Linked DNA regions of Nothobranchius furzeri. The protein of the gene in region 2 interacts with the protein of the main gene of each other region in a pairwise test. Links are inferred from orthologs where the notes say so. Each region holds a gene or a part of one and is shown on either strand. Other genes may lie near its edges.

Evidence for each region. The genes of interacting proteins can lie anywhere in the genome.
Region 1: the proteins of paraneoplastic antigen Ma1-like (region 2) and mettl17 interact in binary tests that used the Homo sapiens proteins (3 or more experiments, as listed by UniProt). The link is inferred for Nothobranchius furzeri from reciprocal best matches to the Homo sapiens genes PNMA1 and METTL17.

What each region holds. Positions count from the first base shown.
Region 1 is NC_091751.1:41,150,826-41,157,450, forward strand, and holds mettl17 (ribosome assembly protein METTL17, mitochondrial), read right to left. Parts: upstream 5,242-6,625; 5' UTR 5,116-5,241; coding exon 5,047-5,115; intron 4,609-5,046; coding exon 4,467-4,608; intron 4,360-4,466; coding exon 4,210-4,359; intron 4,133-4,209; coding exon 4,045-4,132; intron 3,976-4,044; coding exon 3,894-3,975; intron 3,804-3,893; coding exon 3,730-3,803; intron 3,658-3,729; coding exon 3,563-3,657; intron 3,491-3,562; coding exon 3,420-3,490; intron 3,278-3,419; coding exon 3,170-3,277; intron 2,782-3,169; coding exon 2,713-2,781; intron 2,632-2,712; coding exon 2,581-2,631; intron 2,503-2,580; coding exon 2,410-2,502; intron 2,028-2,409; coding exon 1,831-2,027; intron 1,586-1,830; coding exon 1,492-1,585; 3' UTR 1,360-1,491; downstream 1-1,359. Other genes in the region: epimerase family protein SDR39U1, read left to right, coding at 1-28, 113-265, 464-891; parp2 (poly [ADP-ribose] polymerase 2), read left to right, coding at 5,619-5,691, 6,253-6,462, 6,557-6,625. UniProt on the Homo sapiens protein: Mitochondrial ribosome (mitoribosome) assembly factor. Binds at the interface of the head and body domains of the mitochondrial small ribosomal subunit (mt-SSU), occluding the mRNA channel and preventing compaction of the head domain towards the body.
Region 2 is NC_091745.1:26,671,547-26,678,996, reverse strand, and holds paraneoplastic antigen Ma1-like, read left to right. Parts: upstream 1-3,194; coding exon 3,195-4,112; downstream 4,113-7,450.

The DNA.
Region 1 (6,625 bases), on a different chromosome or scaffold from region 2:
CACTCCTGGGTGCTCGTGTCAGGTGTCGGTAAGTTTCTGCAGACGAAACACACAGCTCATTAAGATGAAGACATTTATTAGGGCTTATTTTCTGCTCTTTGTGGACCTACAGCATGCTACAAACCAAGTCTGACAGCTGAGTACACAGAAGACAGCGAGTGGACACCCTTTGACTTTCTCTCACAACTGGTCAAAGAGTGGGAGGAAGCAGCTCTTCTTCCAGAGAACGTGGCTAACAACACCAAACAAGTTGTCATTCGTTCTGGTGTGTGTAACCTTGCACACACACAACACACTTCAAGGAACAGACCGTTTTGTATAAATATGTATTCCTCCTGGCTAAATCCCTTTTACGTTGTTTGTTATGACTAAAGTGTCATATTATATGTGACAGCTTTTTTTTTGTAACTGAATTAGGAAAATTGAAATAAGCGGTCTCCTTTATTCCATTTTTGTCCACCAGGGGTTGTTTTGGGTCGTGACGGGGGTGCCATGAAACAAATGCTGCTTCCCTTCTGGCTCGGTCTCGGAGGCACACTGGGTTCTGGAACACAGCCATTCCCGTGGATCCATGTCTCCGACCTGGCAGGAATCATTGCTGGTTCTCTGGAGCCCCCTGCTGACCCACCGTCCACCTCTCCACAGGTGTACAACGGGGTTGCACCTGCGCTGAACACCAACTATGAGTTCACTAAGGAATTGGGTCGGATCCTGAGGCGGCCCACCATCTTTCCTGTGCCGGGTTTCGTTATGAGCGCCCTGATGGGTTCTGAAAGGGCCACGGTCCTCACTGAGGGTCAGAAAGTCGTTCCAAATCGGACTTTAGAGTCTGGATTTCAGTACAAGTACCCAGACTTGACCTCTGCCCTAAAACAGATTGTTGAGAATTAAAGAACATTTTCTTCCCATTTACTGCCATATAAAATAAAAAGAACATTGTAAATGGCTCCACCTTTTGGTTGTGCTGTCACCTTTTTTATTCATCCCACCTTAAATTTGTCAAACTTTAAAAGCAGCATTTGTCAAATGAAAGGAAATTTGTTGGTTTGTTTCAAATATTAAAAAATACAAAGCTTGTTTTCTTTAAGTATAATGCCAGATGGGAAAAATATACTGTAGATACACCATAGAACAGCAACATGAAGAGTGGTACGCATCAAATTATAACATTAAAAAATGAATCAGCCCCAGAGAGGTATTGATTCTCTCTGAAAAATGAAAAGAAACCTGAACTCCTGAGTTAAAATTCAAACTTAAGAAATGCCAAATACTTCATCTGAGGTCTTTTCTCCACAACTAAAGAGTCATCACTCAAGTGACATCTTTAAAACATCACCATTTTAAAGTAAAACAAGAGTGTAAATATTTAGATTTAATAAGAGGTGAGAGGAAAAACACAATTTTTCTATTCTATTCTGTAGTAAACGAGTCATTAGATGAAATTTTTTTTGTTTTATGGGATTCAAAAATTGTTTATTTTTGGTAGAGTCATCACTCTGAGTCACTTTCGGCATCCTTTTCAACCTTCAGAATGATCGGCAGCTGGTCTCCCCAGTCGCTGTTCCTGGCGCAGCGGTACACATCTCTGAGAAAACAAAAAGACAACAGAAAATGTTTATTCAGCAGGAAAAAAAATAGATGAAATTATTTTAATCGGAAATGATCACATCCTAACAAGCCGCTGGTTCGTTTTTAAACATCTTAAATAAAAACAATTGTAGCATCTAAACACTTGAAAGAAGCTACTTTTCTGTAAAAACGGATTTTGGTACATTTAAAGACAATATTCTGAGGTGTCTGAAGAGACCCATCCTGCAGGATGTTGTTTACCGGCTGTGTTTCCGTGCCGTCACCACCTTGTGCTGCAGCTGTCCATCAGTGCAGCACATGTGGCAGTGGACGTGTCGCGTTCTGCACAGCACCGGCGCAATAAGCCGGGCCCATTCCAAACCTTCTGTCCCTTCCTGCGCCGGTTCCGTTCGGCTCAAAATCAGGTAGCTGAACTTCTCCGTTTGGCATTCGTGGTGCTGAAAAAACAACAAATAAAATCATTTAGACTTTGTTTTACAAGCCATACCTTTATGTTTATGTTTATTCATTTTGCAGACGCTTTTATCCAAAGCGACGTACAATTTTTATAACCTGTAGGGCATGTTGTGATCTGTGGGGGAAACCGGAGTACCCGGAGGAAACCCACGCATGCATGGGGAGAACACGCAACTCCACGCAGAAAGGCCGCAGCCGAGTTTTGAACCTGCGACCTTCGTGCTGCGAGGCAACAGTGCTAACCACTGCGCCACCATGCAGCCCTTTGATGTGGTTTTGTGGAGATATTAACCGATTTGGTCCTAAAGTGCAGCCTGTTACCCTTATCCTCTGTGTTAACGTTGATGCAGAGTTGAGTCTTACCCCTGACAGAGGGAGAGGATGGTAGCGCTGCTGGAAGTTGCAGGGTGTGATGGGCTCTCGGGCCAGTTTGGGACACATCATCTCATGGGGACACTGAGGAGTAAACAAAAAGAAGCTGCAGCAAAAAATGCAACGCCGCAAACCAAGACTGATGCTTTTCCTTTAACCTACCGGGGCGAACACTCTTGCTGGTCTGGGGTCGTGAACAATCTGCTCTTGTTTCTGTTGTGCAATTTATTAAACTGTCAAAACTTTTACACAGAAACGCCAGGAAAGAACCAAGCGGCAGTTTCACTGGAGTACCTTTAGTAAAGTGTCTCTGGCGTCCATGAGCATCTGATGGCCCTCTTTGGTTCCGTTTTCCACCAGAACCTGAAGGACAAAGTGTGGAAAAATAATGAAACACAGCTTAAAATAAGCTGAATTTTTTTCCACATTTAATTTCTCATGACCTGAGTTTTAATTTCAAGTGCATTTTTAATTTCACCTAGCTATTCTCGATTTGTTGGACCTCAGAAAAATAAAAAAACAAACAATATTGAGAGCATATTATACAAAAACAAAAAAAAACCATTAAAATATTTTTAAAATGTTAAATTACATAAAAAATATTTTAAAAGAGTAATAAAAGCAGGTCTAAGATTAACAGAATCAAATATTACAAGGCAAGAAGCCAATGTCGACACGTGAAGGATAAACACTGGAAAAAACTCAGAAGGCGTAAAAGGAAATATAAAGTTGAATTATTGATCTAACCAACCAGGTAGGAGGATGTTTTTCTCCACAGAGTGATCACAGCATCTTCTCGCTCCTTCACGCTGGGAAGCTCTGACAGAGTGAAAGCAGCCGCCACCAAGTCAAACTGAACCTGAGGAGAGAAACTGGGGAGTCAGATTTGTAGCTTTTATTACCAATTTTAACATAATTAAGTTAATCTGAGATTGCTTTCTCGTGGTAAATCCAGATCAGCATTTCCTCTGTAACAAAACCAAAAACCTGGGATGTTTTACCTTAGGAGAGACGGGAAGAAATCGTCTAAAATAGACGTGTTTGAAAAGAGGTTCAGCCTCCTCCTCATCACCTGCGCAGAAGAAAGCACATTCAGCATCTTCTAAAAAATGTTCTGTTAATGTGACAAATATAACAGATCAACCTTTAAGAAGTCGCTCAGCCAAAACGCTCATAGGCCCAGAGCTGTCCACACACACCATCTCTTTTAAAGAGTCTCCCCAGTGCAAGTGTGATGCCCTTTGAGAGGCAAAAAAACACACACACACTTAACCTCATTTAGACAAAAAGGGTTTTAATTTGCACACTAACCAGGCAACTGTTCCCAATCCTGACCCAAAATCCAGGAGAGATTGAGGAGCAAATGAGGGATCCCTCTTCTTTATCTGAATGAACACAAAAACACATCAGTTTTAATTTAAGAGTGATCAGAGGCACGTACAGGGGCTAAAGTCTTCCACAAATCACTTCATTACCTCATTTAGAGCTCTCGTCACTGCTGCAAAACCTCCAGCAAGCCGCGAGGCCATGTACACCACCCCCAGCTCTTCATCATACCTGAAACACAAAAAGGGCCGGTTACGAACCAAAACTCTCAGATTAAGCTGAGTTCTAAGTTCTGATTACTTCAGGGAATTCCAGTGATATGTAGTTTGTCTGAGCTCTGAGAGAACCCTTTTCCTGATCTGATTCCTCAGCGCTTCCTCGTCAATATCTGCAAAGAGAAACATATTTATTGTCTCCAGGGGCTGCTACATGGATACATCGTTACTTGATCCCACCCTCGCTCACCTCCCATCTTCTGCATGGCTTTCTCCCAGAGTTCTTTCTCCAGACCCAATGCTTTCTGCCTCAGAGTCACGTCCTCAACCATCCGCTTTCGACTCCACAAGTAGTTTATGAGTTTGTGACAGCGATCAGTAAGCTGGGTCACCTGAGCTTCTACACAAAGAAAAAACAAACATGTGGGAAAATTGTCAGTTTTATTTATTATTATTATTATTATTATTATTATTATGGCAGCTAGAGTTGATGACAGCTGATCTCACTTTGAATGACTGACTGTGCAGCAACTTGGAGCTCCTGGGGTAGCCGAAGTGTATTCAGGCTGGTCATACCAGGATGTTTCCTGTGGGGTTCTCCTTTAAGGAAATCTGCTTTGGGCTGTGGGTTAGCAGCAGCACTCACAGTCTGGAATAAATTATTATTACAAAGTGTCAGAATAGGAAAATGAAAAGCAGAGTGGCTGCATTATATGACTTTGTTAGAGTACATAATCGACATATAAAAATATGTGTATGAGGTACATGTTTGTTTGCATATAAATAATTCCAAAAATATACAAAAAATTTATGTAAGGTGTGAAGAAAGCACAGTCTTAGCAAAATATTAAGCAGTACTAGAGAAAAGAAAAATACAGGAAAACAAGGAAATAAGGACATTAGGATAAAAATACTAGTCACTGCAAAACTGTGGAAAGAAATATGAAAACAAATAATTTTATGTAATATTCAAACCGGGCTACTTTTCTACAAACTGACATGTCATTTACAGACCATAAATGTACACAAAACATAAATGACCTCCAGTGAAAATGATGCACTCAAAGACACCTGGTGGAGTACTTACCCTGAACAAAATCTTCACCACAGCCACTCTCTGACTGAGACCACAGGCTTTATAGCTACTTGATGCCATGTTCTCGGTGTCTAAACGGCACTGAAATATTGGTAAACATTTACTTTCATCCACGCTATTGTAAAGCACACCGACCGACTGATTTGCATCAACAAAATAATTCCGGCCACCACTGAAAGTGGAACCATCGAGCCTTAAAGATTTGTTCCTACACGAGGGAAACAAGAAGAGTTCTTTCTCTGATCTTGTTTACAGATACTGGCTAACATTCGGAAACAAATAGCACATAAAAGAAGGATTAGATTAAAAATGTTTGTTTTACCACATATACATCATTAGAAAAATCATTATTTGGTTGTAAACAGATGTATATTGCTGCGTTGCTAACTTCTGTATTCATCGCTAGTTAGTTACGAAGTGCGGCATCTTTTTAATAAACCATCTTCGGTAGGCTTTGCTCTCTACAGGCCTATCCGAAGAAAAGAAAGTTCCCGCCGTGTTTTCTACTGCTTCTCGATTTCTGCTTTTCCTGCTGTTAAATAAACTTGTTTTGATACACAAACATGAGGCGAACCAGAAGTTCGAGAAATAAAAGCCAGCGCGCACAAGAAAACCACGAAGTCCCGTCAAAAACAGGTTGGTGTTTGCTTTTAGCACATCATGGAAGGAAGCAGTGTAGCCATTAAACATGCCCGGACAGAGAATTAGGTTTTATTTTCATCTTCACAATTCTTTGGTAACTATGTCCTGCACTACCTATTACTTATATTTGACAACATTTGTGTTTTAACTAATTGAATCAAAACTTGGCGCGAAAACTGGTGAAAAGCACGAATATTAAGCAGTTCTGGAGGAAATCACTAGAATAAAGTGACTCACTGCTACATTTAATTAATTTAGTAATAACTAAAGCCTCGTTTGAGTGTAGAAAAACAATATAATGGCTCTGCAAAGTCCAGTTGATTAACACATCTTTGTTTAAAAAGTAGTAAAAAGAAACTACATAATTACATTTAATGAATGAAATCAACTCAGGGCAGAAATTTGATGTTTAGAAATTGATTCATGTTTTATAAAGTCATATCAGTATTTTATAGTTCATAAAAGGTCTGTTGTGGAATATTATTTTCAGTTTTTCCTATAATGCAGCACTTAAACAACTGTTTTACTGTTTTCTGGCTCTGTTTGTGATCACAGTGTGGCAGTGGAAAGGAGATGAAGGACAGTGGGAATCGTACCCGCCTACAGCCTGTGCCTTGCTTGATTCAGCCATTTCTTCAGGGAGGACATCCGTCACTCTGACTCTTGGCTCGGGGGCAGCATATGAAGTGGATTTGAAGAAGATGGTCCAGATTAACCCTGTGACGAAATACAAGAGAAAAATCCGCTCCAAGACTGTAAAAACAGGTGTTTTTTATTTATAGAAATCAATTCAGACTGAAGATGGCAAGACACATTATTTGTTGATCGTACATTTGTTTTTTGTTGTTTGTTTTATAAGAGAGTTTACAGGAAGCTGATGATGAGGCTGCTCATAACACAGAATTCATTCAGGTAAAAGAGGAAGAGG
Region 2 (7,450 bases):
TGCAACGTGCCGACAGAACGACAAGTCCGCCGTCACCCATGATGCTCCACTTCAACCCATTCCTTTACCGGCTGCTGCTTGGGAAAAGGTGTCTGTGGACATCATAGGCCCTTTTGAAATAGCCCCTTCTGACTGTAGATTTGCCATTACATTGGTAGACTATTTTAGTAAGTGGCCTGGAGTAGCTTTTGCTCCCCGAGCTGATGCAGGTACTGTCATTCAGTTCCTTTCCGTAGTTTTCTCTCGTGAAGGGAATCCAAAGACATTGATAAGTGACAATGGCTCTCAATTCATCTCTGCTGAGTTCGCTGACTTCCTCAAAAGCAGGGGGATCCAACACCTGAGGTCCTCAGTGTATTACCCAAGAGCTAATGGGGAAGTGGAGAGATTCAATAGGTGCGTTAAAGACTGCCTACAGACTGCCTCGATTCAAGGTCAACCCTGGAAATCGTTCCTGAGAACTTACCTGATGGACTACAGAGCAACCCCTCATTCTACAACTGGAGTCTCCCCTTCAGAACTGCTCCATGGACGCCGAATGAGAACAAAGTTACAGGTAATAGATATGCCTGTTCCTCAGACAGAGAGGCAGACCATGTGCGAAAGAGTTAAAGATAAGCAATTGAAAATGAAGGAATACACTGATGCTCGCAGACGCGCAAAATCATCCAACTTTCAGGCTGGTGACAAGGTACGGGTTAGGAAGCCATGGAAGGTAAAGAAAGGAGAGTTAAAGTTTTCTAAACCAAAGACTGTCGTGACCAGGAAAGGACCAAATACTTATCTGCTGGATGATGGACGGACCTGGAACGCCTCACACTTATCGGCTCTGTCAGGGCTGAACACAGGTACTGATGCTGACACAAAAATGGACTGTCATAAACCAGGAACTGATCTGGCATCTAACTCTGAGTCTGATAGTAGGCTTAGGCCCATCAGGATGAGAAAGCCACCTTGCTGGACCCAGGACTTTGTTATGGGGAAGTGAGTGTACTGAGTAATGTGAAATGTTAACGTGTATTAGGTGACCTACATCAGAATGATGAGGCTTAGTTCACATAAGGAATCCTTGTTCAAAAGGGGAAGATGTTGTGTCCACATACTGTTGCATGTGTTCTGTAGATGCATTTACTAGAAGCGCTAGAGGGCGCTAGTAAGTACGTTGTGGTTGTTGTGGTAAAAAAAAGAGAAGTGAAGAAGAGAGAAATAAAGCGGGAGTTATCTCCGGTCCTCTGTTCCTACTTACGTGTGTGTGTAATGCTTGCTGGATTAGAGGCACACAACAACACTCTAGCAGCCCATTCAGCTGGTAGCCATCCCCATGTCTTAGCCATGTGCTCAAATCGTACAAAGAAGCTCTTAGGATCCTCACCTTCCTTGAAGTCAGGTATTCTAGGTTCACCTCCATGGATCCTGCCAACCCTTTGTGCTGGAACGCTTTGTGTCAGCTGCAGCTGAGGTGGTGCAGGCAGTCGTAAAGGAGAATGAGGATTATGCTGGTATGGAGTCCAACTTTCAGTAACCTGTTTAAATTTTGAACTATGTTTCTACTGAGAAGTCTACCTGGGTTGTAGGGCTCCAAAAGGGGCAGAGCTTCCTCATCAGTTTCACCTAAATCCTCTTGTTGTTTTCTGGGAGAAAGTATTGCCAGATTTTCGTAAATTTCTTCTTTTGTGTTCTGCCATTGGAATGAAATGAGCTGCAGTCTTTTGTAATAAACTGCAGAAGGATATGTGATCCAATAAAAAGCACAATGAAAACAGACACATGTGCGGTGAGTACAATTAGATGTGTTTTTGTAATTGAAATGTCTTTTTTACACTACAGTTACAAGGTCACAACACACAGATTAATCAAAAGATAAGGCAGAGAAGGAAACAAAGGGGTGTGCAAGTGTATGTGTGCAGATGTACATGTGTAGCCTGGTCTCAAATATCTATTCTAGACCCTACAGGTTAAAAGGATATAAATATTGTGTAAAGCCTTTATTGTAAATATTTCATATATTTGAAAAAACAAGGAGTTCAAATGGTTAAAAATGTGTTTAAAATCACAATAAATAGAAGTCAATCATAATTTGAGTGTTCATGGAGTTATAAGTAACAATGAAACTAAAGGTTTATCTAATGTGAAACAAGGAAAACTTTGTATTGTTTCAAGTTGTTTTACAAGTTCATTTTGGGTTGTCAATCTTGTATTTTCTTTTATCCCATTGGTTGATGTAAACCTACTGTCCAATCAGACGTAAGGGAGGCGGGAGCTAAGTGAGGCAAAAGAAAGAAAAAACAGCGAAGCTAGTGAGAGTCGGCAGCAGCACGTTGCGGGAGGAGGTTGTGTACCAGAGCTAATGGAAGAATAGTGAAATAATAGCCGTGGATGCAGAGTCTACGTTCCTGTTATGGACTGTTTTACCCTGTGATGAGTGAGTACTGAATGTGGAGTTAGCATTGAGCTTAAACGGAATGTATAAGTACTTAAAATGTATGGTGCTAATCGCGAGTTAGCATGTTAGCATTTTAGAGCCTGTAATAGCTATGTATGTCGAGTACGTAAGATACAGCTTATTCTGTGGAACTAAATAGTAATCTCTAATGCACAGTGGACCGAGAGGAATTCTCTGGACTCTTCTGCTGTGGATAGGAGTTCTGTGTGGTTGTTCCAGTGTACTCAGCAGCCCGGGTATGCCGCTAATTCCGACCACCTTGCCGAGTGGAGGCCGCATGGTCACCAACCAAGACTGCCCCTCCGTTTGCCTTGCACTTAGCCCAAAGGATTCATGAGTAGACCTGAGCACGTGTGTTTTGTTTTCTGCTGGTTATCAAGTGAAGCGGCCATTTGTTTGTTTTCTGGCCCAACGAGCCCAAGCAACGATCAGGCCTGCAACGGTTTCAGTGAATGAGCTCACAAAGGTTAAAACTGGTTAGTCATTGTTTCTCCTGTTTACCAATAAGATTAGTTAATGTACCCAGGGCCCCGCTCATAGTACTATCACCATCTTAACCGAGGGTTAATCCAGAGCTACTTGAGTTGGGTGCTACACATTTGGAGGCACCGCTGGGATTGTTGTTGTTTTATCTACATTTTAAGTTACCACTAAATCTGCTGTAACCTTAAAGTAACTAAGAGTAACACTGGTCCTAAAAAGCAACTTCAATTAATCTTTTTTTTCCCCCTACAAAGTAACTTGTTAAACTATGGCCACTAAAAGTGATGTCTCACAACCGAATCTTGCAAATTGGTGCAGAGGTGAAGGGCTCGATCAGGCACATGCCATTCTAGTTGTCGGAGTGCCTGAAGAGGAGGACCTATCCACAGTAGAAGAAACACTCGAACAAGTAAAAACCTTGGGCAAGGTAAGAGTAAGAGGAAAAATGTTTGATGCCAATAATCAAACCCTGACCATGTTATGTGAATGCTGTGAAGCAGTCGATCCTACCAAAGTTCCGCCAGAGTTGATTTCCTTTAAGGATGGAAGTAAATGGACAATAGTTGTTGCAGAGCAAGAAACGAACTCCGACCTATTCACAGAGAAGTTGGACAGATTTCTGCGTGATGAAGGGAAAACAATGGAGGATGTTCAAAGACTATGTGATCCTAGAACTCCATGGAACAGCAGCCCTGAGTCAATCATTCGGGTGGTAGGTGATGTGTTGCAGTCCAAGCCAAATGAAAGCAATTTATACCGTCGTTTTAGAATCTTCTCAGGAGTCTACCCTACTCCACCTGGTGAAGACAACTTGGATAGCTGGCTAGAACAAGTAAAGTTCATGACTGATGAGTATGAGTGCTCAGATAAGGAGAAACGCCGAAGAATTATTGAGAGTCTCAAAGGGCCAGCGCTGGAGATCATTCAAGCAGTGCGCATGTCTAATCCCCTGGCAAACCATGTGGACTGCATACAGGCATTGGAAAGTACCTTTGGTACCGCAGAATCCGGTGAGGAACTGTATCTCACATTCAGAGCTATGCATCAAAGACAAGGGGAGTGCTTGTCTAACTTCTTGCTGAGACTGGAAAGATTACTGAACAAAGTCGTGCAAAAAGGAGGCCTACAAGTAGATGAAGCCAACCGAGCAAGGCTTGAGCAACTCATTAAAGGTGCTACTGAATAAGACTTCATGCTGCTTCATCTAGGTCTTAGAGGTAAGCGAAGTGATCCCCCGACATTTTTAAGTCTACTGAAAGAAATTCGAGAAGAAGAGGAGCGTGAAGCTGCAAGACAAAAACTGAAAAAACCAGCACAGAGACAGCACGTGCATGCAGTGCAAGTAGCAAGTGAAACAGACTCCAGAGATTGTCAGCAACATGAGTTTCAGTCCGAAATTCAAGTGCTAAAAGAAAAGCTGAAAGAGCTCAGTAAGCAGTCTCATTCTACAGAGTCAAGCCACAAAAAGATGTCCAGAGAAAAGAAAAAAGAGAAATCAGACACAAGCAGCGAAGTGCAACAGTTAAGAAAAGAAGTCAAAGAGCTGAAAACACAGTTAAGTGTCATGTCGGTAACGCCACAACATTATGCAAAAGAGAGAGGGCACTATTCTAAGTTCAAAGCGGACTTCAGTCCAAAGTCATCTACCTTTAAGCCAAAGAGTAGTAAAGAGTCAGATAATTTCTGCTACAGATGTGGAGAAAATGGCCATTTTGCAAACAAATGTACAGCTCCGGAAAATGCTCAAAAGGTAATCAAAAAGCTTATTCATCAAGTGCATGGAAGCCCAAATGGACAAAGTCAAAGTACCGACGCTCAAGATCAGTGTGTTGCTCGAGTTAATACTACCAACGTTCCAACTCAAAGTGCCAACATACCGGAAGGTCTTATTGGTCCATCATCCATAGCTCCTAATAAGGTCAATAACATCTCATGCCATGGTCTTATGGATTCAGGATCATCAGTGACCATTATCTTTGAGGATTGGTATAGAGCCAATATACCAACAGTCCCTATACAGCCCATTTCCAATCTAGCCATCTGGGGCCTATCAGCTGAGTCCTACCCTTACCATGGGTATGTAGTAGTAGAGATAGAGTTCCCTGAGAATGTAGCAGGTGTCAAGGGTCCTCTTAATGTCCTCGCTCTTGTTTGTCCAGAGCCCCCGCAAGGTCGTGAAACTCCTGTAGTGGTTGGTACCAACGCTTTTCTGTTCAGCCGCCTATTTCAGTTGTGCAGAGATAGCGGTAACGAGAACAAGGTCAGCTCCATGAGGATACAGGCAGTTTATGATAAAATCCAAACTCAGTCCTTAAGGTCCAGTGGAGGCGACGATCCCATAGGGCAAGTGAAATGGCAAGGTCCAGGGCCACTTACCATTGCTCCAGGGAAAAATTGTTATGCCACCTGTAAAGTAGAGCAGAAAAGAACTAAACCCCAAGATGTTGTTTTGGTTGAGGCACCTGCCATACCCCAACTCCCATCCGCAGTGTTGGTCCAGCCAGGTGTTCTCCGTGAAAGTGACATGGATGAGAACAGTTTCATCGTGCTATTACAGAATGAGTCAGAGAAACCTACCTCTATCCAAGTCGGCACAGTCATTGCCGAGATGCATGCAGTAGACGTAGTCACCGATCCTAAAGTGTTAGAGTCTGAAGCTAGTACCGTAGCTCCCGAACTCTTTGATTTTGGTGACTCTCCTGCTCCAACAGAGTGGAAGAAAAGACTACAGCAAAAGCTAGCGCAGAGGCGTAATGTTTTCTCTCTTGATGAATGGGATGTGGGATTGGCTAAAGACGTAGAACATAACATCCGGCTTAGCAACTCTACCCCCTTTAGAGAGCGCTCACGCCGCTTAGCTCCAGCAGATATTGATGATGTACGACAACACCTACAGCAGTTGTTAGCGGCAGGCATTATCAAAGAGTCTCGAAGCCCCTTTGCATCACCTATTGTTGCAGTGCGAAAAAAAATGGCTCCATCAGAATCTGCATCGACTACAGAACTTTAAACAGCCGTACGATCCCCGACCAGTATACCATCCCTCGTATTGATGACGCCTTAGATTGTCTTACGGGCAGCAAATGGTTCTCAGTCCTCGATCTTAGGAGTGGGTACCACCAAATTGCCATGTCTGAGCAAGATAAGGAAAAGACTGCATTTATCTGCCCCCTGGGGTTCTATCAATTTGAACGAATGCCACAAGGCATCACAGGAGCCCCAGCCACTTTTCAGCGGCTCATGGAAAAGGCAGTGGGTGATATGCACCTTCTCCAAGTCCTAGTGTACCTTGACGACATAATTGTCTTTGGTAGAACACTCGAAGAGCATGAGCAACGTCTCCTAAAAGTCTTAGATCGCCTTGAGGAGTTTGGTCTGAAATTGTCGCTTGACAAATGTCAGTTCTGTCAGTCCCAAGTCAAATATGTTGGTCATATTGTCTCAAAAGATGGGATAGCCACCGATCCCGAAAAAGTAGAGGTTGTCAGGAACTGGCCGGAGCCAACAGATCTAAAAACCCTTCGCTCATTCCTTGGTTTCTGTGGGTATTATCGCAGATTTATTGCAAATTATTCCAGCATAGTCCGCCCATTAACTGAGCTTACCAAAGGTTATCCACCTACTCAGAAAAACAAGGGAGCTCAAACCAAAGACCCAACCAAAACCTATCTCAAACCTTCTGAGCCATTCAAAGAGCGATGGGACCACTCCTGTCAAGTCGCATTCAAAAAAATCATTGAATGTCTGACCAATGCCCCTGTTTTGGCATTTGCAGATTCCACCAAACCTTATGTCCTACATGTGGATGCTAGCCTAAACGGTTTAGGTGCTGTGCTCAATCAAGAGTACCCTGAGGGCCTTAAGCCTGTTGCTTTTGCTAGCCGAAGGATCAGTGACTCAGAACGAAACTATCCGGTCCATCAACTGGAGTTCTTAGCACTAAAGTGGGCGGTTGTGGATAAATTTCATGACTACCTTTATGGAGCTAAGTTCACGGTTAGAACCGATAACAACCCCCTAACCTACGTGTTGACCACTGCAAAGCTAAATGCTGTTGGACATCGTTGGCTTGCAGCTTTAGCCACGTACGATTTCAACATCCAATATCGTCCTGGTCGTCACAACATAGATGCAGATCTATTGTCCCGACAACACACCAATGACACTGAATGGACAGATGTCCCACAGTCTGCCATAAAAGCAATCTGTAAAAAGGAAGCCATCTATGAAGCTACTAAGTCCCCTGTCAGGCTAGTAGACCATCTGGGAGTTCCTACATCCGTGATTCCAGAAGCTTACGTCCTTCCAGTAAGCCTAAAAGCAGCTTTGGAAGATCACTTGACTCCTACAGACTTACAAGTTGCTCAAGATCTGGACCCAGTCATTGGACCAGTCAAACAAGCCATCCAAACTGGAAAGCAACTTATCACATCCAAACATTCACCTCCTGATATGTCTTTGTTAAATCGTGAGAGCAGGAAACTTGAACTGAGAGACAAAATACTGTATCGACAGAGAAAACTG